2 linked regions of the Caenorhabditis elegans genome follow. The protein of the gene in region 1 purifies or fractionates together with the protein of each later gene. This does not show direct contact. Each region holds a gene or a part of one and is shown on either strand. Other genes may lie near its edges. The genes, in order: eif-2alpha and eif-2Bbeta.

The links.
Region 2: the proteins of eif-2alpha (region 1) and eif-2Bbeta fractionate together in Caenorhabditis elegans (co-fractionation; one large-scale study listed by BioGRID). This does not show direct contact.

What each region holds. Positions count from the first base shown.
Region 1 is NC_003279.8:2,066,717-2,079,801, reverse strand, and holds eif-2alpha (Eukaryotic translation initiation factor 2 subunit 1), read right to left. Parts: upstream 7,123-13,085; 5' UTR 7,114-7,122; coding exon 6,996-7,113; intron 6,384-6,995; coding exon 5,836-6,383; intron 5,097-5,835; exon of another isoform or gene 5,096-5,096; coding exon 4,847-5,095; intron 3,816-4,846; coding exon 3,702-3,815; 3' UTR 2,877-3,701; downstream 1-2,876. Other genes in the region: pcyt-2.1 (ethanolamine-phosphate cytidylyltransferase), read right to left, coding at 445-538, 776-834; phb-1 (Mitochondrial prohibitin complex protein 1), read right to left, coding at 7,504-7,812, 7,862-7,978, 8,048-8,449; rpl-27A (Large ribosomal subunit protein uL15), read left to right, coding at 9,198-9,362, 9,595-9,750, 9,965-10,081; rplp-1 (Large ribosomal subunit protein P1), read left to right, coding at 10,289-10,459, 10,509-10,673; arl-13 (ADP-ribosylation factor-like protein 13B), read right to left, coding at 10,753-10,933, 10,975-11,297, 11,350-11,445, 11,492-11,557, 11,657-11,764, 12,564-12,626, 12,831-12,967, 13,028-13,085.
Region 2 is NC_003279.8:11,887,099-11,897,759, reverse strand, and holds eif-2Bbeta (Translation initiation factor eIF2B subunit beta), read left to right. Parts: upstream 1-4,032; 5' UTR 4,033-4,039; coding exon 4,040-4,101; intron 4,102-4,146; coding exon 4,147-4,483; intron 4,484-4,694; coding exon 4,695-5,055; intron 5,056-5,784; coding exon 5,785-6,047; 3' UTR 6,048-6,184; downstream 6,185-10,661. Other genes in the region: Y47H9C.12 (Mos1 transposase HTH domain-containing protein), read right to left, coding at 795-951, 998-1,059; Y47H9C.8 (NACHT_N domain-containing protein), read right to left, coding at 1,513-1,585, 1,632-1,747, 1,805-1,862, 1,916-2,029, 2,082-2,157, 2,783-2,891, 2,953-3,219, 3,286-3,518 and 2 more; Non-catalytic caspase homolog csp-3, read left to right, coding at 8,471-8,596, 8,641-8,877, 8,920-8,976; dnj-27 (DnaJ homolog subfamily C member 10), read right to left, coding at 10,613-10,661.

The sequences.
Region 1 (13,085 bases):
GTGTTCCTTTAAAATTTTTGTCAAGTCACGAAATTTCTTTTTAATTCGTGGCTTTTAATAAGGAAAATTGAATAATTGAATTATTTAAACAATATTTTTTACCTGAACTATCGTAATTTAAAGTGAAAATTAATTTAAATAATTCACAGAAGTTGATTTTTAAAATAATTTATAGCCACGTGGTGCCAGGGGTCCCTGTCCCATTACGGTTTGATCTACAAAAAATGCGGGAATTTTTCTCCCATTAAAATGTGACGTCAGCACGTTCTTAACCATACGAAATGAGTTAAGAACTCTGCCGCATTTTTTGTAGATCAGCGTAGATCAAGTGTGTTATAGGGAAAAATTTCGCAATTTACGAGTTACGACTTAAAAACTGCTAATATTTTAACAAAAATTTGCATATTCCCATCTTCTTTTTAGGGAGAAAAAAATATTGAAAACCTCTTCATCATTATGTACTCCAACAATTAACTTCTGTCCAAACTGCTTAGCCTGCCGTAATTGATTTGCATGGCCGAAATGCACCATGTCATAACTGGAAAATTAATTCATTTTAAGGCTCAATTCACATGGTGTCAAAGTGTCTCATTTCGGCGTGATCTACGTAGAGATCTACAAAAAATGCGGGAAAAGAGACGCAGACTTTTCAACAAAAATTGGTTAAGAACGTGCTGACGTCACATTTTTTTGGAAAAAAAATCCCACATTTTTTGTAGATCAAACCGAAAAGAGACACTTTGACACCACGTGTCGATTCCAGCCAAAAACCAACCATCCATCAGCCCAAACTCGATTTCCTTTGGGCAGTCCATCTGGTGCTAATCCGCTCATTTTTGAACTGAAATTTTAAAAATAATTTTTTTTTTTAATTTAAGATCAAAGTTCAAATTGTTGCAGAAGAAAAAAAAATTTAAAATCACGTTAATAATATTTTCTCACTTAAAATTTTAAAGGTTGAGTACCGAAATCTGTGAAATATTTTTTATATTACTCCAAATTTTCCCCTAATTCCGAATATCTATGTGAAAAAATTCAAAAAAAATTCCCTGATATTATATTTTAGCTTGAAATCGTAGAATTTCATTTGTCCCCCGCATCACTTTTTTTAAAATTCGCGCCCAAACAAATTCGCATTGGAGCGCGCTTTGATTTTCTTCATTTAAATATTTTATTTATTTTCCGCCGAATTCAGTTTAAACCAGTTTTATTCATTTTTGTCGAAAAAAATCGATAAAAGCTCGACAAAAATGAATGAAACTGGTTTTCAAAAAACTGCATTCGGCGAAAAATAAATAAAATATTTAAATGAAGAAAATCAAAGCGCGCTCCAATGCGAATTTCTTTGGGCGCGAATTTGAAAAAAAGTGATGCTAGTACAAGCGATTTCAAGCTTAAATATAAAATCAGGGAAATTTTTTTGAATTTTTTCACATAGATATTCGAAATCAGGGGAAAATTTGGAGTCAATTAAAAATAAATTAAAACAATGTAGTCAACGGACATTGAAGAGTGACCCCGACATCACCCGATTAAATAGCAATCGGAATGAAAAAATGCGGAAAAAAAAAGAAAAAAATTGTGACGTTATCAGTTCGAAAAGGACGTCGAACCCGGAGCAGACCGCCTGTCATGGAAAAAATATTTAGTCGAGTTTTTTCATTTTCAATGACGAATTGTGGAGGAGTTTCTCACAAAAAATTCAAAAATTGCACTTCCGGGATTTTTCTACTCAGTAAGCCTAGTGGGGAAATTGCTTTAAAACATGCCCATAGGGTCACAATGACCGAATATCACGATAAAAAAATTCAAAAAATTTTCTAGATTTTATATGATTTTTTTTTGAAAATTGAAAAATCTCAGTTTTTGCCTAATTCCTATTTGAATTACCGCCAATTGAAATTGTTCGATGGAGCGCACTTGCATTATTTTTATTTATTTATTTTATTTTTCTCATTATTTCACTGATTTTATTCGTTTTTTGGGGGTTTTTAATCGGAAAAATAGAGAAAAATGCAAATTGGTCATTAAAAAATTACTGAAAATGGGTAAAACTGTGTTTCGACGCCAAAAATCCTGAAAATAGCATATTCCACAGTTTTACTCATTTTCAGTTACTTTTTAATAAATCTTATAAGCATTTACCTTGCATTTTTCTCTCTTTTTCCGATAAAAATACACAAATAATGAAGAAAATCAGTGAAATAATGAGAAAAATAAAATAAATAGTGCAAGCGCGCTCCATCGAACGAACCCAATTGGCGGTAATTCAAATAGAAATTAGGGGAAAACTGAGATTTTTCAATTTTCAAAAAATCATATAAAATTTAGAAATTTTTTTTGAATTTTTTAATCATGATATTCGGCCATTGTGAAGCAATTTTCCCACTGGGCGCACTCCACCTTAAAAAAATTTCATTGAAAATCAAAAATGTTGCCAATTTTTTTAATAAAATCCTTCCGAAATCTGAAAGTTGGTAATTTTATAGAAAGTTTTAATTATTTTTCTATTTTTCGCGTCTAGAAACTTCAAGAAAACAACACAAAATGACGTTTGGTCACACCACAAAACACATTTTGTTTGTTTCCGATGGAAACAAAAATCGTAATTTTTCCATTTTCCCCTTACACAAAAGAAAGGCAAATTTTCGAAAATTTGATAAGAAACTTGAGATAATCAATAAAGGTTCAAAAAATATTCCGGCGTTGAAACAATGGCAGTTGCCCTTCACCACGTGATCAGGTGACCTATGCGCACGCGCGCGGGTCTCCGAGGACCACCTCTTATCGATCATTTCTGGCGGGGGGAGAATGGTCAAGTATTGAACACAGAACGTCTGCTTCGTAACTGCTGGAAAAAGAAGCCTGCGATGAAAAACCAGCTCACTGTTCATAACGAATTGGGAGCCCACAAAAATGGAAAAAAAACGGGGGATGGGAGACAATAAATAGAAGGTCAAAGGTGGAGTATCGAAACCTGAGATTTTGCATTTTTAGACCCAAAATACTACCGAAAACTACCTAATGAGGCGTTTTGAAAATTTCTCAAAAAAAGGTTATGGCGGTTCAAAGTTCTGGGAAAAATAGCCCATTTTCAGCTAAAATCGAAATTTTTGCCAACTTCTCGGTGTCGTAGAGTCTGGAACTTAAGTTTTATTTAATTATCACTTTTTAAACAATATTTTGGTCTTTTATTAGACATTTATTCGTTAATGTAAGCACATTTTCGACCAGTGGGGGACAAATAAAAGTTACATTTTTGTGCCCCAATGATCGAAAAATCAACTAATCAACGTCTAATAAAAGACCAAAATATTGTTTAAAAAGTGATAATTAAATAAAAATTAAGTTCGAAACACTGAGACACCGAGAAGTTGGCAAAATTTCGATTTTAGCTGAAAAGGGGTATTTTTTCCGAAACTTTGAACCGCCATAACTTTTTTTTGTAAAAAATTTTCAGAACGTCTCATTACAAAATTCGGTAGTTTTGGGTCATTTTAGGTCTAAAAAAGCAAAGTCTAAAATATCGGTACTCCACATTTAAAGGGGGAAAGGAACAAAACAACAGAACAGATGAAGAGAAATGATAGTGCCAAAATTGAATAATACTATAATAATAGTCCAGAAAGAATCGGAGCCAATTACACCAATAAAAGCAAAAAAAAAACAATGGGAATTTTCAATTTTCAATTTTCAAATAATTAATCATCCTCCTCATCACTGTCTTCATCGTCGCCGGCCTTCTTTCGGTTATCTCTGCTGGCTTCTTCCGCGTCGACTTGTTGATCCAAACCCTTTGGAGCCATGAGTCCATCCTGAAAGAAAAATTTTTTTTCGTTTTTCTAGCTTTCAAGGTGGAGTACCGAAATTTGAGGCTTTGTTTTTTAGACCCAAAATGATCCAAAACTACCAAATTCCGTAATGAGACGTTCTGAAAATTTTTCAAAAAAAAGTTATGGCCGCTCAAAGTTTTGGAAACATGTTATATTTTCAGCTAAAATCTCAAATTTTGGCAACTTCTCGATGTCGCAGCGGTTGGAACTTAATTTTTATTTGATTGTCGTTTTTTAATGCATGTTTTGGCATTTTATTTCGTGTTTTTTCGTTGACTGAGATTCTTTATGGTCGATGCGGGCACAAATACGATAAAAGTTTGAGCCCGCATCGACCGAAAAAGCATCTCAATTAACGAAACAACACGAGATAAAATGCCAAAACATGCATTAAAAAACGACAATCAAATAAAAATTAAGTTCCAACCGCTGCGACATCGAGAAGTTGCCAAAATTTGAGATTTTAGCTAAAAATATAACATTTTTCCAAAACTTTGAGCGGCCATAACTTTTTTTTGAGAGATTTTCAGAGCGTCTCATTACGAAATTTGGTAGTTTTTGGCCATTTTTGGTCTAAAAAGTTTTTCGTGATAATTTTACACGAATTGGCAAGTAGAGCTTACACGTGATGCGAATCATTGATAAAACATCAATTTCTGTTTTTACTGCACTGAAATTCCGGCACAATAGCTCTCGTAAATCGACACAAAAGTAATTAAATCACTCCGCGGAAAAATGGAATTTGGATGATTCTGATTTTGAATTTGATTTTAAAAAAAAACCGTTAACCACATTCAAAACAAGAATCGAGTTATTCAAATTTCTTTTTTCCGCGGAGTGACTTAATTACTTTTGTGTCGATTTACGAGAGCTATTGTGCCAGTACAGTAAAAACAGAAATTGATGTATTTATCAATTATTAGTATCACGTGTAAGCTCTACTTGCCAATTCATGTATTATAAAATCATCACGAAAAAATGCTTGAAATCGTCTTAAAAACTCCAAAACTCACATCATCCTCATCCTCTTCCTCGTCCTCGTCTTCCTCTGATTCCTCCTCATCCTCATCTCCATCACCCTTCTTCTTCTCATCATCAATATCCGTCACAATTCTCGCCTCCTCCTTGATCGTGAATTTTCCCTTGAATCCTTCAATCGCATTTTTGATAGTATCCAGAATGCTGTTGACGGCCTCAATTCCACCTTCTCTGTCCAATGTTTGTGTGGTGACGACGAAGTGGGGAGCGGCGATGAGATTGATCTGAATTAGACAATTATTTTTTAAATATTTAAAAAAAAACAATTTCGCACTGCGCACATGGGCGTGGTTTATTGGAGGCGGGGATTCCGGCCGCAACCCTGCGGCGCGCTTTTTTCTCGCTTTTTGGGTGCGGTAATTTTCCTTTTTTTTCGTTTTTTTTGTCCAAAATTTCATGATTTCGATCGATTTTGGCCGTTTTTTTTTCGAATAAAGAAGTGTTCAGCTATTTTTTAAATGAAAAATAACCAAGTTTTCACATTTTTTAACCGAAAAAAAATCACCCAAATCTTGCACATTATTTGAAATTCCCCTGTTAATTTATCTTAATATTGTGAATTATTGTCATTTTTAAAATGTCCTTCTTGATAATTTGTATATTTAAATGAAGAGAAAGCGAGTTTTATCGTATTTTCAGAAAGAGAGACAAAAAAGCATTTTTTCGGGTAAAAACTGTGTTTAAAAAATAGCTGAAAACTCTCTTTCTGAAAAATATTATAAAACTCGCTTTCTCTTCATATAAATATACAACAAGTTATAAAAGAAGACATTGAAAAATGACAATAATTCACAATATTAAAAGAAATTAACCGGAGAATTTTTCGGGTAAAAACTGTACTATGAAAACTTGGTTTTTTTCTTCGAAAAAACGGACAAAATCGAGCGACATCGTGAAATTTTAAACAAAAAACGCAAAAAGCGAGAAAAAAGCGCGCCCATGTGTAAAATCTATAAAATGAAACCTTAATCGGGAAGGTTCCATTTGAGCAGTTCTTTCCAGCAATAAGTGCAGCCTTCACAGCATCAATACCATCATAATCGAAGCAGGAGACTTCAATATCAGCGCGAATTTTAACCGCCTGAGGGGTGAGCTTCTTCCTAATGTCCTCCAAGAGTTTCTCCTTAATATCTGCACTAATATCACACTCATCCAAGATCGTCGGTTCGGTGATCGCCTTCTTGAATGCGTCATATGAAGCTGCTTTCCGTTTCTCTTTGCGATCAAAGTGCCACGCGGTCTTTTGGTACAAATCCTCCAACTCTTCGTCGGTAGTGTATCCGACTTGCTCGGCCACGTGTCTCAAAATGCTGTTCACCATTTTGGCGTTCGCGAATCGCTCGTCGCACTGTTTCAAGTCTTTCTGGTAGACACGACGCTTCGACAGATCAATGTAACCTTTGTCCTTGTCGACACGGATCACGACGACGCTTTCACTTCGGCCGACACGGATTAGCTTGTTCACTGAACGGATACGACGACGGGAGAGCTCGGAGAGCAGGATCATACCCTCTGAAAAATGATTTAATTTAAAGGAGGACGAACGGTTCGGACGATTTTGAACGTATAGACTCAAAATGAGCTCAAACGAACGAATTTCGTAATGAAACTGCTCAAAAATGTTTCAAAAATTTTTTTATGGCGGTTCAAAATTTTGAAAAATTGCACTGATTTTAGCTAAAATCACGAATTTTTCCCTTTTTTCCGTGCCAAATCCTTCCTAAGTTAGCTTTTTTGGAATCATCGTCTTTTATTACATATATTGGTAGTTTATCTCATTTAATTTTACCGATTAAAGTATATTTAAAGCCGATAGGTAACCAAAAATCAACGAAATTAAATGAGATAAACTACCAATATATGTAATAAAAGACGATAATTCCAAAAAAGCTAACTTAGGAAGGATTTGACACGGAAAAAAGGGGAAAATTCGTGATTTTAGCTAAAATCATTGTAATTTTTCAAAATTTTGAACCGCCATAAAAATTTTTTGAAACATTTTTGAGCAGTTTCATTACGAAATTCGTTCATTTGAGCTCATTTTGGGTCTATACGTTCAAAATCGTCCGAACCGTTAGTCCTCTTTTAATTCGATTTTTGTTTTAAAATGATGATTTTAAAAACCTTTATCATTGTACTCGGAAAGCCGGACGTAGGCACCCATATCGGCAATCATTTTAACATTGGCGACAACGGTCTCCTCGACATCGGGGAATTGATTCTCGTAGAAACGGCATTTCATTAACGCCATCTGAAATGAGAAGAAGAAAAGTTTAGCATTAAAAAAAAAGAAAATTGAAAAGAAATAAGAAAATTATAAATAATGATTTTGGGAAATCAACCATTGAAAATTAATAAATTCCCAATTTCAAATTCATTATATCGCGAACAAATTATTCATTAGACGAAAATTTCCAACAAAAACAAGCAAAAAAAATGAAAAAGCTACGATACCTACACAAAATGAATGAAGGAAATGACCTACTCTAAACAGAACAAAAAAAACGAAATTTAAAAAGTATTTAATTGAGAATTCGGGCATGATTATTCTCGAAAGTTCAACAGAGTGAAAAAGGCTCTTTGAAAAGGGGAAAATGAGTGGAATTCGTCTAAAACACGTAACCGGAGATATTTAGGATTGAAGGTTGAGAAGGGTTTGTTGGTTTCCTGGAAGATAGGTGACATTCTTGTTCTTGGCCATACGCTCGGCGATCTCTTCGGCGGCCTCAATCTTTCTGAGCTCGACAAGTCCGTCTCCGGCAGAGGCAAAGGCCTTGGCAAGAAGCTTTGCGGCTTGAGCATCTCCTTCGGCGGTGGTAACGGCGGCGATCTTCATTTGTTCAGCCTTCTCGACAAGGTATCTCGCTTTTTCGGCTTCTTGCTGTGCGACTTGCTTCATTTCGACGGCTTCAGTGAATTCACGTCCAAAGTTCAAGTGGGTCTGAAAAATCATGGAAATAGCTTAAACTTCATAAATCTGGTGAACTTACAATTGCAATATCATCAAGGAGAAGTCCGAACTGTGCAGCACGTTCACGAAGAGCCACGGACGCCCGTTGGGAGACAACCTCACGCTGGGTGATCATCTCATGAGCATCGAATTGCGCCTGGAATTAATTTTAACAAATTTTAAATCAAAATCAGTTCGCAATATTTAAATTAAAATTTTTTCTCACCACAACAGCCTTCAAAACTTCATTTGTAATGGAAGGAAGGACTCTTTCTGCGTAGTCCAAACCAATGTTCAGGTAGATGTTTGGAAGACGATCGGGGCTTGGTCTGTGAAGGATACGGAGAGTAATGTTGACGTTTTGCAAGTCTTTACTTCCAGTGATGGTGGTGACGGCTCTCGGCGTTGACCGGATATCAAAAATGATTGGTTTTTGTACCCATGGAATTAAGAAATGAGTTCCTTCTCCGACGACCTCGTTTTTCACTCCACTGAATCGGTCGAAGATGACTGCTCGTTGACCTCCATCAACATTGTAAAGAGCAGTTTGTGCGATTCCTCCAGCGATGGAAAGGCCCACTCCGACAGTTCCCAAGCGACCCAAAAGCTTCTGTGCAGATGCAGCCATTCTGGTAAATGGAAGTTAATAACTTGGACAAAAAATGGGAAATAGAAAGAGAAATGAACGAGCTATGATGCAAAATTGATAATAATCCTAATTATCACGAAATTAGATGGATGAATTAAATGGTGTCAGGAAATCTAAATTGAAAAAGTGAGTTTAGTCGAGTAAAATTAGAAAACAAAAAATACTTCAAAAATAATTACGGAATGTTATAAATAATGCAACACAAAGTATTTTTCGACTTTCTCCACGAATAAATCGATAATAACAGTGAGCCTGAATCAAAAAGTACAAAATATCAATAACTTATTTATTTGCAAAATTATTTAATTAAATTTTAACTAACTTTTCTGCTTTTTTAGCTTAAAAAATCGATTTAAATGATGAAATAAGTTGCGCAAAAAATAAAAGAGTTTAAAGGGAGGCTGCATTTCATCGAGAGGGTCTCGCCACGAAATGCGCATCAAACGAGTGTGACCGTACCTCAGATTTTGGGAGACACACTCACTGAATTTTTGCGAATATTTTAGGATTTCTTTTTGTTCTCAATGGTTTTTCGCTAGGTTTTAATGAAAAAAGTGTGTGATCTGGTCGATTTTAATTATCTTTAAAGACAAAATTTGTATTTTTGTAGTAATTTTATCCGAGAATATCGGGAACCTTTCATTGAATATTTTTCTCTGATTTTTCTTCTCCATTTTCGATCGAAATTTGCCGCTTTTACACATTCAAATTGTTTACTTTACAGGGTATGGCTCACGCGTTGAGAAAGACAAGAAAGCTCCGTGGTCACGTCTCGCACGGACACGGACGTATTGGAAAGCACAGGAAGCATCCTGGAGGTCGCGGTAACGCCGGAGGTCAACATCACCACCGTATCAACCGTGACAAGTACCATCCTGGATACTTCGGAAAGGTATTATTTTTAAGGTACTTTTTTAAAAGTTCGTTGGAAATTATCCGCTCCTATCTTGGCGCTTCCATTGGTGAATATGGCTGTGTATGTTATAGGAGAGATAGTAGTGCCTTTTGGCTTTCGGATCTCCTTCGGTGTTTGTCTTGCATCTCGACAAATGTCATCCTCTGGGTTCGAGACAATTAAATCTAATATGTTCTTTATTATCTGACACTCAAACTTTAATTTTCAGGTTGGAATGAGAGTGTTCCATCTCAACAAGAACCAACACTACTGCCCAACCGTCAACGTCGAGCGTTTGTGGTCTCTTGTCCCACAGGAGGTTCGCGACAAGGCCACCGGAGGCAAATCCCCAGTCATTGACTGCACCAAGCTTGGATACTTCAAGGTGTGTTTTGAAACAAGTCAAACAAGAATTTCTCTCGTCTTGGCGCTTCCACTGGTGAATGTGGTTGTGTATGTTACGAGAGACAAAGTAGCGCCTAACGGCTTTCGGATCTCCTTCGGTGTTTGTCTTGAATTTCGACAAATGTCATCCTCTGGGTTCGAGACAATTATCTTTCATGACTATGAAACGTAAATTTAACTGTTCTTATTTTCAGGTTCTCGGAAAAGGACTCCTCCCAGAGACTCCACTCATCGTTAAAGCCAGATTCTTCTCCCACGAGGCTGAGCAAAAGATCAAGAAGGCCGGAGGAGCTTGTGTTTTGGTGGCTTAAGCCATGTTGTTACCTTGTATTAAAACAATGTTTCAAGTTGAATTTGTTCTTGTTGTTGAATTCTATTCACATGGTCTTTACCCATGCTTCATATCTTATTGTTTTCTTACCCTGGTCACTTTGTGGCATTAATACTTTCTTTCAGCGTTCTATCAAACGTTTGTTCTCTTTGGAGCTAAGGCAAACCGCGCAACTTACGATTGAAGAATGGCTTCGAACCAAGAACTGGCTTGCGTCTACGCTGCTCTCATCCTTCAAGATGACGAGGTCGCCATCACCGGCGAGAAGATCGCTACCCTTCTCAAGGCCGCCAACGTCGAGTTCGAGCCATACTGGCCAGGACTCTTCGCCAAGGCTCTCGAGGGAGTTGATGTGAAGGTAAGGATTTCTCATAAGTATATTCAAGTTTCACCCCGATTGTTTTCAGAACCTCATCACTTCTGTCTCTTCCGGAGCCGGATCTGGACCAGCTCCAGCCGCCGCCGCTGCTGCTCCAGCTGCTGGAGGAGCCGCCCCAGCTGCCGAGACCAAGAAGAAGGAGGAGCCAAAGGAGGAATCCGATGACGACATGGGCTTCGGTCTCTTCGACTAAAGATCTTGTTATTTGTTTTCAATAAATCTGTTAACAACACCAAGAAAGTGTTTATGGCTTCAAAAGTGAAAAAAGGAGGTTATTTTGGCACTACTCGATTGTTCAGAACGTTTTGAATCCTTTGTATCCGGCTATATTGTCGACCAGGCGCTTTTGGTGGCAAGAAATAGTTGTCTTTCAGAATGATAGTTGGCTCTTCTTTAACACTGTTAGATTCCGGCGAAACAGGCTTCGTGCTTGTTTGTGAGATTCTGCAAAAACTGAAACAATCGGATTTCTCAAGTAAATTAATGTGACTCACTTTACAGGATCTCGTGGAGTTCCTGTTTCAGGCGTGCTCTGAATGATATCTGATGGTATTGTCGAGCTGGCAAGCGACATCGGCGGACTTTCTTCAATATGAACCGACGCGGACTTCGGATCCGATGGAGGATCAGGCGGGATCGGTGGTTGCACAGGTGGTTGGTTCCGAAGTTCCAGGCCAGCCACGTCGGCTTTCAAAGCATCGTGCTCCACTTTCATTTGCATCAGTCTCCGTTGTTCTTTGGCTTCTTCCTGACGGATCCTCAACGCCAACTCGGCGGTTTTAACACCCTCGGATAATTCCACATAGTGCTCAGAAATCTGAAAAAAAGGAAAATTTTAAAAATTCTAGAAAATGAAATGGGAATCCTACAGAATCGATGAATCTGACAAACTGCTCCTGATACTCATTTCTATCCTTTTTCGCCCTCGCCATCACCGTCAATGTGGCACTTTTTATGTTATCAAGCTGAAAATCGGTGGAATTTTGAATTTCTACCTTGAAGCGCACTCACATATCCGTTATACTTGTTGAAATGCGAGAAAAGTACGATTTTGTGTTGTCCCGCCTGGATTTTAGTCTGTGAAAAGAGGTTTGCGTGATAGAGAAGGAACACTGGGGGATGAAGAAGACGGGGACAGTTTACGGGAAATTATTTAAGTCACTCAAAGTCACTCACTTCATTCGAAATTTCCACGTCATCAAATTCTCGATTGTTCTGATTGTTGAGGAGCAGAAAAATTGGCTTTTTCTGCACATGTGGATTGCTGGTTAGGGAGTGGAGAGCCTGGAGAATGATAATTTTTTAAAAGTAATTTATTACCGAGACTTGAAATTTTGACCGAAAATACGGTATCCGGTCTCGACACGACAAATTTCTGTGAAATGCGAAAAGGTGTGCGCCTTTAAAGATTACTGTGGTTTTAAACGTTCTTTGCCCGATTTTTCATAGTTTTTCGAAAATATATGTGGTTTTAATTGTTTTATCACGAATTTCTGGCTTCCCTAGGAATTAATGGAATTTCCTCATAAATTGAAATGGAAGAGTTTGCCGAACTAGGCCAGTTTGGCTCGGCCATATCTGGGGTGGATCTACGGCGCGTTGCGTGTCGCATCGCGGCTCGGTTTTAGTTGTAAAACTACCGTATTTTTTCTATTAATATAGCTGCAATACTATTTTTCGATGGTCTTCCCGCTTGCAATACTAATAGGGAGTGCAAGACTATTAGGGAGTGCAATATTACACTCAAGATAAGAAAACTGCGTGGCGTGTACTGCAGAAAACCTCATATTTAGGCCCCGCCTTTTTCACTAATAGGGAGTGCAATACTAATTTTCGGAGGGTGTTCAAGGAGCAATACTAATAGGGAGTGCAAGTCTAATAGGGAGGCCATATTAATAGAAGAAATACGGTAAATGAAATTACTGTACTTTTGCCTAAAAATTTTTAAAGGAGCACACCCGTTTTAGTTTTTTGCAAAAAGTTGTCGTGTCGAGACCGGATAGCGTATTTTGAGCCTAAAAATCTTATTTCATAACTTTTAGGAATAATTCATAATCCTTATCAATTTCGTAACTTCTCTCACCTCAATCGACTCGGTGAATGTCTCATCCGTTGAATAATCAATCACATAGATGATTCCGTGAACCTTAATTTATTTAGAATAATTATAATAATCACGGTTTGATCTACAAAAATGCGGGAATTTTTCTCCCAAAAAAATGTGACGTCAAAACGCTCTTAACCATGCGAAATCAGTCCCGCATTTTTTGTAGATCCACGTGTAATAAGAGTTTTCAAAAATTCTCCAGTGTGAAAGTGCGCCCTATCGCATGCACACACACACACACACCTCAGCATAATAATTGCTCCAAATTCCACGTATTCCCTTATCCCCGCCAACATCGTAGATCGTCAAATGAAAAGTCTCATCATACTCCATTTTCACTGTGGAGAACCCGTTGGTACGGAGCAAATCCCGCGGATCTTCTGGATTAAATTCAAATTTTAAAATAATTTCGGATTGAGCGACGGAGCGCACTTGCTTACCTCCCTTGAGAACTTTCAAAAATGTGGTTTTTCCGGCGCTTCCGATGCCAAAACATCC
Region 2 (10,661 bases), 9.8 Mb from region 1:
TTTCAACACAAACCTGTGAGAGCTACTTGAAATTCTCACTCTCTCTGGACGATCTCGAACTCTCCAATGTGTTCGTGCTCACTGCGGCCCGGAAAAGGACAAAACCCTGAAAAAAACGTTGCTCAGATAAGGAAAAGACGGATAAAGAAAGTATAAAACCGAAAAGTACATGTAAAGCTTATTAACATTATCGTTTTCATCGAAAACATATATGAAACGGCTTCATTCGCCCAAAAATCCGTTTCCTCTCGATAATTCTGAAAATTAAGCGAAAAAAAACGAAAAATTGGGTCGATTTTATGAAGTAAAATACGATTTAAACATAATGATGCAATTAAATTCGAAAAAATCATCTGAAAACTATTAAAAATGCGATAAAAAGCAGAAAAATATTGCAAAATCGGTACCTAAATTTCATGCAGCAAAGCTGCTCTAATGAACTCTCGCCTCTGTGACGTCACGATTTTTTGAAAATTTTTTCCGCATTTTCTCGCAATGAGTCGCAATGAGACAGATTGACACCACGTGATTTCTCAGCTTCTTGGACACATTTCGAACCACCATTCTACAATTTTTAAATTATTTCTGTAATAATAAGGCTAAAATAATCACCTTTCCGCTGGCAATAGCTTTTCCAAAACTGTATGGACAACCGTGTCGGGAAAATCGGTGAAAATCGGACTTTTTGGGTTGTAGCTGAAAGTTATTATATGGAAATAATCACTTTAAAATTGAAAAACCTCATTTTACAGGTCAAATTAGCATCTCCATTTCCAATTTGATAGTACCAGAAATCAAATTTCCCGATATTCCATCAAATCGTCTCCGAGAACCCCACAAAACGTGTCGTATGCCTTCAAAACTGGAATTTTTTGGAGATAAAGGGACAGAATGAATGCTCTGGTGGCGATTTTGCTATTCCGCAAGAGAATTGTCTTTTGGATCCGTTTCCTGGAAAATTTACAATTTTTAAATAGAGTCAAAGGAAGAAACAAACTTTTCAATCAAATCCTCCATTTCCTTGGATTTGCCATTGCGACGAGAGCGGGCAGCAGACATTTTGCTCGTTTCAACCGAAAATTAGCTGGAAAAAATAATATTTTCGACGAAAATTGCGATAAAAACTGGTTTTCCGACAAAAAAACATTTCAAAAAATTGTTTGCGCGTGATGTCTTGCGCACGCTACGCAATACACTCCGCGAAGTGTATTGCGTACTCCGCCGACTACAGTACCTCGGGGAACATTTTTATTGCGTTTCTCAATTACTATAATATACTGGGAAAAATAATCATTTAAAAAAGTTAAAAAACGCATTTTTGTGGAAGAAAATCTTTTTTTTTTATAAATTGAGAGCAGATTGCAACGAGCTAACTGTATGACAAAGTTTTATCAGTTTTAAAGGTCAGTTTTCTGAAATTTACATGCTCTTTTTGCCTGCCCTGAAATTGTTCAATAATTCTAAAACAACATTTTAAAATCATAACATTTATTCGAAAAACACAAAAAAAAATCAATTCTTAACATCAATTTCCGCTTCCTCATCGTCGGCACGTGGCTGGTAGATTGTGAACATGAGTTTGAAGCTGAAAATATATTTTTTATTCGAATAAAAATGGGAAATTTGCTCACTCCAAGTCTTGTTTCGCCTCTAAATTCTCTTTCGACGGATTCGTATCGCATCGTCTGATGAGGCTTTCGTACTGGCGCCACGTCACACAATGATGCATATCCACTGGTTTTCCGCGCTGAAAATCGGATTTTTAGTGCTCAAAAAATCACAGCAAAAATCGATAAAACCCTACCGGAGGCGCCATAAGCTCTCTTGTGACAGTGTTATACGGCATTTCTCGGGCTTCATTCCTAAAAAAATCGATTTTTAAACGTAAAATTTAGGAAGAAATCGGGGGTCCTACAAAGCATCAGTCACACATTGTCGGAATTTCGAGCAAAGTTGTTCACGGGTCGACTTTAGAGTCTCAAATGCCACCTCACGGGCTCCATTTGTGTCGCCAAGAGACTCCACGTAGCTGGAAAAAAATTGACAATTAATTTTTAACTGGTTTCAGGTTTCAGGCTTACTCGCTAGAATCGGTAGCTTCTTCGAAAGTTTGGTCGAGCTCCGGGGCTCCAAGTCCGGCCAGGCAGATCAGGAAATCTGGAAAATAGATTTTTAGTGGATTTTGGATTTAAAGAAGGAGAAAATAGCTCAAAAATCTTAAAATTTCGCCAAATTCCAGCTAAAATCTGCAATTTTTCATTGTTTCAGCGATTGAAAACTGATTTCTTGCACTTTTCCGGTTGAAAGTTGAAAAAAATACGAAACATGGACCTGAAAAAGAGCAAAATTGGTGATTTTTGGACATTTTTTGACGGAAAAATTACAAAAAATGCCTAATTTCAGCTAAATTTTGCACATTTTTGGCACTTTTTAAGTAAAAAAGTGGTAATGTACTACAAAAATTAACAAAATTCAGAAAAATTCATAATTGTTTTTTTTGTCCGGCTTGTCTCATTTTTCGCCGTATTTTTTCTTTTTTCTGAATTATTGAAGTTTCTGGGATTTTTTTCCTCTCTTTAAGAAAGAAGAAGAAGAAGAAGCCGAAAGCCTAAGCCTAAGCCTAGGGATAAGCCTGAGCCTAAAGTCTAAGTCTAGCCTAAGCCTTAGCCTTCTTAAAAAATCAGAATCTGAGATTTTCGCTAAATTTAGACGTTTTTTCGAATTTTTTGAGCGTTTTTCCCAATGAAATTCGAGGTTTTTGAGCTTTTTTCTGAGCTCTTACGGAGCAAAGTGTGCACAACATGCGGTGGAATGTCCTGAAGCCATTTTTTGTGCGAAGTACCGCTTTGTCTGAGGCTGTAGTGCCAAATTGCGCATTTTGGCTGGCATGCCTGGAAAAAATCGACTTTTTAAACATTTTTTTTTTTTTAATGCATTTTTGATTTTTCCAACCACAGCAAAGTAATTCTTGATAATCTGCTTGCTTTTCCCGTTCAAATCTCCACTTTTTCGAAAAACCACAGAATTATAGATTTCTAAAAGATCCATTTTCCGGAAAATCTCAGTTTCCTGGATACAATGCTCGCCGGCTCGGATACGTGAAGATGAGAAGTCTATGGACTGTAGAGATGATGACGTGGCACTCATTGTGTGAATTTTGAATTTATAATTTTCAAATTTCTCGCGAATGCTTGACATTGAAGTTTTGAGCAAATTCCACTGAAAAAAAACCAGTTTTTTTTGTTTTTTAGGTGAAAATTCAGATAATTTCTTGGAATTTCGTACCAGAAATGCATTTCCAATGACTACAAGTCTACTATCAATTGTTCCAGTGCTCAGCTCTTCGGACAGATTCCAAATGCTAATATTCGCCATAGTTGGCACATTTTTTGCGAATTTTAGTGTTAGCTCCTTCAGTTTTTCGTCATCCAGTGTTTTTTCAATTATTCCATCGGCAATGATTCTTCCGACCTCTTCCACATTAATTTCAGGCTGTTCCAGTTGTAATTCTAGGTCTTCTGAAATGAAAAAAATTATTATTTTTCTACTTTCTCAAGTAAAAATTTAAAAATTGAATCACCTATCGGAGATCTTTCTAATTTCTCTTCAAGTGCCGCACGTATCGAGTTTTGACTGGTTCCAGGACGCTTTGCTGGGAGATCTGAAGCATTTTCTGGTATTTTATCGATTTTTCGAAGCTTTCACAAGTTTTACTAACCATTAAACCCACCCACGTCTTCTTTTGAGCGTTTTCTATTCATTGTTCACAAAAAAATCTTGGAAGAATTACTGTAAAATCTACAGAGAAATGGATAAAAATTTAAAATAAAGAATGTCCACGAGGAGTACAAAAATTGATTCGAGAGAAGTACACTGGAGAAAGTTAGTCGTGGAGCGCGTTTGCATTAGGATAATTTCAACACATTTTTGCATTTTTTTGGCAAAAAGTGTATTTTTAAAGTTAAAACTTGCTTTTTTTTCAATTTATTTCTTTTATTTTAAACATTAGAAATAAAATTTAAACCCGTACAGATTCAAAATGAGCTCGGACAATGAAATTGAAGACCTGAAGCGAGCATTTATTTTTGCTTTACGAAAAAAGTGAGTTTTCTGATGAAAAAACTCAATTATTCCTTCATTTTCCAGATTTCCACGTGATTCCTCTTCCTCCATAGCAATTGCGACAGTGAATTTGATCAGAAAAATCATTTTCCGCGAAAATCCAAAGACAATGAACGATTTGCAAGTTTCGTTGGCAAATCACTGCAAAAAGCTTCACGGAGCCGAGCGATCGGAGCTCATTATTATTAATATCGGCTTAATGATCACGAAATTGGCTCGAGACGAAGTTCTTCAGAAGAAAGGCGGCGGAGAGCCGGAGCCACTGTATACGCTGTGGAGAGATGACGATGAGACGATTAAAAAGCTGAAAACAGCTGATATGAAGAAGATTAAAAAAGATCTTCAGGCTTCCATTAAGGAGGTAATGCTGGGAACTGGAAACCAGAAAAAAGTCGCTAAAAAATGAAAATTTCTGCTCAAAAAAATCGATTTTTTTTTTTAAAATTTAGAATTTTCAACTAATTTTTCTCATAAAAAATGTAGATTTCGATGATATTAATATCAAAAAAAAGGGAAAATTATAATTTTTATTCAAAAACTACACATTTTTAATGCAATTTTTTCATTTTCAGCTAGTAACGGAAATCGAATCATCTCGTGAATGTATTGCATCTCAATCAACGGAACTTTTATTCAATAATGATGTTGTACTAGTTCATTCACTTCGTTCATCTCAAACAATGCACAATTTCCTATCACATGCCGTCAAATCAGGCCGAAAACATCGTGTAATTGATGTAGTTGATGAAGAAGAACATATTGAATCAACTCCTGACTTTGCAACTGCAATTGAGCTCTATGAAGTCGCCTCGAAGATGCCTGAAGCCTCGAAAGTTGTTCTAGTCGCTGCTGCTTATTTCCCTGATGGATCATGTCTTGTACCTGCTGGTGGACATCAAATTGCACTTCTTGCCAAGAGGCATTGTGTTCCAGGTGCTTAAAATGCCCGTTTTTCTAAAAAAGGACTAAAAAATCGGTTAAAAATCAGTTTTTTTTTCTAAAAAAAATTTAAAATCGTTTTCTGAAGACTTTTCTATTCAAAAAGTGCTTAAAATTACCTTTTTTCCGAAAAAAAAAATCAACGGAAAAAATTTAATAAAGCGAATTTTTCGAGAAAATCAGCTAGAAATCAATTTTCAACTTAAATTTTATAATTTTTTCGAAACTATTAGTGGCATTTTTCAACAAAAATTAAATTTAAATTAAAAAATAAAAAATAAAATTTAAATTTAAATTTAAATTTTAAAAAATTAAAGAAAATTTAAATTTCTAGAAAAAAATAAAATTTAAAGAAAAAATTTAAATTTTAAATTTCAAAAAATTAAAAAAAAAAGTTCAAAGAAAAAATTTAAATTTCTAAAATAAAATAAACAATTTCAAAAAAATTAAAGAAAATTTTAAATTAAAAAAAATTTTAAAATTTAAATTTTAAAATTTTTTTAAAACAATTTAAATTTCTAAAAAAATCGAGTTTTAGAAATTTTAAATTTTCTGTGCATATTCTGGCCATTAAAAAAAAAGCATTCTCATTTTGGAAGGAATTCAACAAAAATTGAAAAATCACTTATTTTTTTCGATTTTCTTTTTTTTTCCTAACTTTGAGACTATTTTGAGTATTATGAACGAAAAAAATGGAAAATAATAATTTTCCAATTTTTTCAGTCTACGTGCTCGCTCCATTCTACAAACTGTGTCCATTCTTCATGACAAATCCGGATTCCCTGCACACATTCCGCTCGAATTCCCTTCCATTCGATCTATCAGCCAAATCAGCAGGCCTTGTAGACTGTCTTCATCCGGCATTTGATTGTCTTCAATCTGATTTGGTTACCCTTTTTGTCTCGAATACTTCATGCGTTATTCCGTCTCATGTGAATCGTCTCAAGGAAGATTATTATCATTCACAGGATATTGCTGATTATTAATTTTATATCGTTTTCTTCTAGCCTCATAACTTGTACCCCCCGTTTTTCTCCATTTTTTCTGGGTCTTTTTTCGTCAAATTATTGTTTCTTTTTGTTTGTTTTGCGCCTCTCAATTTTCAGTAAATTATTTTATAATTTGGATGTGACTTTCCTCAAATTTACAGATTCTTAGAGTGGGAGAATCCACACGTGGTGTCAGGCTGTCCCATCGCTCCACTGCACACAAAAGGCGGGAAACGATTTTTTGAAAATTTGTGACGTCACAGCGCATTTCGATTAATTTTTTGTTTGCAATTTAAGAGTCGATTTTCATTAAATTTTTTTCTTATAATTTATAAAATTGATATTTCACCGAAATTCGGAAAAATTAGCAAGTTAAGTGGAGAAATTGAAGCAAAATACAACAAAATACAATTTTTGAAAAATTATGAAAAAAAGTCACAGAAATCGACGCTTAAATTTATAAACAATTAATCGAAATGCGGTGTGACGTCACAAGTTTTCAAAAATATTTTCCCGCTATTTCGCGTGCAGTGGAGCGATGGGGCAACCTGATACCACGTGAATTCAGGGTTTTGTGTTCAAAATAAATTGAAAATCTATCAAAACTTCGGATCCTTTTGAAATTGGGAATAAAAAATAAGAACAATAAACTTGGAGAATTTTGAAGTGGAAAGAAGAAGAAGAATAAGACAGTATCGAGTGGTCTAGCTGCAGTTGAGAAAGAGTGAGTTTTGTTGCGAATACGACGGAGAAGAATCTCCTCCGATCACGACTTTTATAAATATTGCATAATTATACACTCTATAACGGACGCGAACAACACGAGGCTTATCCAGCACATTGCTCAAGGAACAACAGCCAGTCAATGCTAACAAAAAACAACCACGTGAACCATTCCGCCGTGAACTCTCATGCGATGCATACAAAGAGCAAATGAGTCTGACAACAACAACATTCACGCCATGAACTTGCCACGCCAATTTGAACAACTCAACCCTGGACACGTGAACCTCATCGCCAACCTTGGAGGGATTCCCGAATCAGTTCTGACTCTTATGTTCTTACTTTTGTTTGATTAAAATTAATTTTTTGGAAATAAATGCTTTACTTCCCTTTTTCTAGTATTTCAAAAGCTAAAGTTATATTTTCAGGAATATGATAACCTTGAGGAGGCACCTCGAAAATCCGCAGGAGGTTTGTCATTTTTTTTTCATTTCAAACGTCAATTTAGATTATTCAAATTGAGATTTATAATTAGTTTTTAAGAACCTCAGGATTTTCGTGAAAAAATGCGGAACTTTTATATCCAAAAAGTTCTCATTTGCTCAGAAATTTACAATAGAAAAAGTATTTCGGTATATTTTTTTATTTTAAGAAATTTTTCAGGCGGGCCCACTCGGCGCCAGGGAGCAAAGGAGAAATTCGAAGAGGAAGCAACGAAGAACAAAGCCAGAGAAAGAAAGTGGGTAGAAGAGCGTAAGTTTTTTTCTGACAGTGAACTTGTTATTTTAGCTAACTTCAGCCATTTTTTGGAACCACCACAAAAAGTTTTTGACATCTTTACAAAAAAGTGTCAAGTATTTTTTAAATTATATGTAGCAATCATGTTTCAGACGGCTTCGATCGCCCACGGAGAACCCAATCGCAGAAATTGGCGGAACAAAATCGAAACCGATATGCGAGAAAAAAAGGTACGTATAAGGGTATGAACCTAGTAACACAAAATAACAGTAATTCTTTACAGCAGCTCTGGAGCAATCAGATAAGGTCGAATCGGATGAGGAGGAGAAGTTGAGCGAATCAGATGAGGATGAGGAAGGAAGAGGAGCAGTTGATGAATTTGAATTCGAATCAAACGGTATGTGAGCCGGCTTTGAGAAACCCAAAAAATTCAGCGAATTTCTTTGAAAATTTTGGAAATTTTAGAGATTTAATTTTGAAATTTGTTTAGAATTACAAAATTAGAGTTTTAAAATGAATAATTGTCTGAAAAATTTGAAAAGTTTAGGAATTTTCTAGAATCTTTATAGATTTTTGGAATTTTTTTTTTTGGAAAACGTGGAGGATTAATAGAGCTTTCTTTTTGCAAATTCTTGAAATTAAAGTCAATTTCAGGTGTAATTTATTTTTAATTTTTTAAAAATTTTGAAAAGGACAAAAGAAATATTACAGATGTTCCGTCTCCCCAGGCTCCACCGACACCGTCAATTGCTGATCCGGGCCCCACAGCCTCTTCATCGCCACTCACTCAAGACCCCGCCTCAAACGCCACTGGATTCTCTGGTATGTGAGCGGGCTTTGAAAAACACAAGAAATTCAGCGCATTTCTTTGAAAGCGTTGGAAATTTTAACTTTTGAATTTGTTTAGACTTTCAAAATAAGAGTTCTAAAATTGAATAATTGGAATTAAAATTTTTGGAATGTTTTTTGGAAAACTTGGGGGATTTGCTTTCTTTTTGCAAAGAGCAGTCCGCTGTGATGGATTCATCGACAACTTTTTTGATCGTATTCCAAAGTTCTTCCAGTTTATGAAATCTAAATTCCCAGTAAGTTTGAGGGCGAAATCTCCTCAATATTCTTCTCATTTCAGTCACACCAAACCTCGTCGTCGCAAGCGGATTTATTGGTTTCTTTCTCAACGTCCCCTGGCTTTCTATCATTCAAAGATGAAACCAAAGACACATGGTATATTCAGGAGCTTTATCGAGTGATTATTGAGAACGCGAAAGATACTCATTTGGCGGATCTTCTGACGGAGACCAACAGACGAGTCGTGGAGAAATATGAGGCAGATAAAGTAGTGTTCGTGTGTAAGCAAGCACCTGAGGTAGGCATGCCAAGACTTAAAAGGTATAACAATTGTTTTCAGTTCTGGTCGAGGTTCACAAAACAGCTATTCTTCATGTCTAGAAATGACGTGTTTTGATGTCAATGGCCTCGGTGATCAGTATGCTCTCAGTACATGGTAATATCAATTTTTCGACGCAGCTTTATCATATTTAAAATGTTTTCAGTTTCAACAGTTCTTTCAATTGTCACACATTTTTCCCGCTGCTACGATGAATTACAATACCTATTCAATTTCCAATATCGGATTTTCTATCAATTGTGACGATGTCATGCTAGCCTTATTCATATTTAAAATGCCCGTTTGTCAACTCTTCTGGATATTTTAACTGGTCAATAAAGTGTTTTATTTGAAGTTCTATTTGAAGTATTATATTTGTTTTGAAACTAGTTAAAGTTCAGAATGCTGGCAAGAACAAGGCATAAAATATTTTTAAAAAAAGGAGCTCAATTTTGCTGGTAAAGGCTCACAGTTCTTACTGCCTACTGCCCGAGTGAAGATATAAAGGTTGTAGGTAGGTATTACGCATGCCTACCTGGAACCCTCACTTTCAAATGTTTCCACATTCAGAAAAATACTAATAGTAAGTAGACTGGAGGTGTTTCGAATGGAAGAAAAGATTTGAAACTGGAACACCTGTTGCAGATTTAGCAGCTCCTGTAGCTTCTGCCTCCCGCTGATGCAGCACCAAAACCTCCACTGGCTGGTTAGTTATTTAGAAGCAAGATATTGATAAGATAATCAATATATTATAGGAACCTTCGATCCAAACTACCAATCTCTTGCTGGAATTGGAGAGAGTCGTTTCGATAGGAAGGATGGAGCACCGTCTGTAAGAGGGGGAGGGGCACATGCGAATTCCGGAAATCGTAAATTTCTACAATAATTTATCGATTTTTAAAATAATTCTTTACCATGAACTTTATGGATTTTTCCAAAATTTATTGATTTTCTTCTGAAATTTCATAAATCTTATAATAATTCATAGATTTTTTGTTTTGTAATACTTATTGATTTTTTAAAATAAAACTTATTGGCTCTCTCAAAAGAAATATATCGTTTTTTTTAATTACCACATTTTTCAGACACTTCTGAATTCTCGACTGCCAAAAGTTGAACAAAGTGGGAGTTTTTTTATTAAAAATTTTTTTAAATTAAATATTGGAAAAATTCAATTTTTTTGGAGATGAATTTATTAAGATTTTTGGAAATTTGGATTTTAATTTTTTTTTTGCAGAGTCGAACGATAAGAGTATATTTTCATGCAAAATCTGAGCAATTTCTAGACTTTTTCGAATTTTCTGAAAAACATGAAAAACTATCTGAACGCTCTGAAAATACAATACCCGATTAAAAAACCTCTAGTTCTTGTGGAAAGATGTTCAAAATTACTTTTTTTTGGAATTTTGGAGTTGTTTCTTTTTTGTGTTATAGTAGGTTCAATAGTACACAATACGCCAAATCATACAAAAAAATGCACAAAAATCGCTAAAAACTGTTCAGTATAATGCAAATTTTAAAACGATTGAAATTTCCAAAAAAAAGAGGGGCAAATTGGCTGAAATTATTAAGACAGGAAAATTAAGATAAAAATTTATTAATCAGATCAGTATTTTTCGAAACAATTAAAAAATAAATTATGCAACAAAACCAGTATCTGGGAGACTTAAAAATGCTCATAAAACCAATCGAAAACTCAAAAACCCATGAATTATTATAGCTCATCATGCTCATCAAGCTTCAACTGTTGTCGAACAATTTGG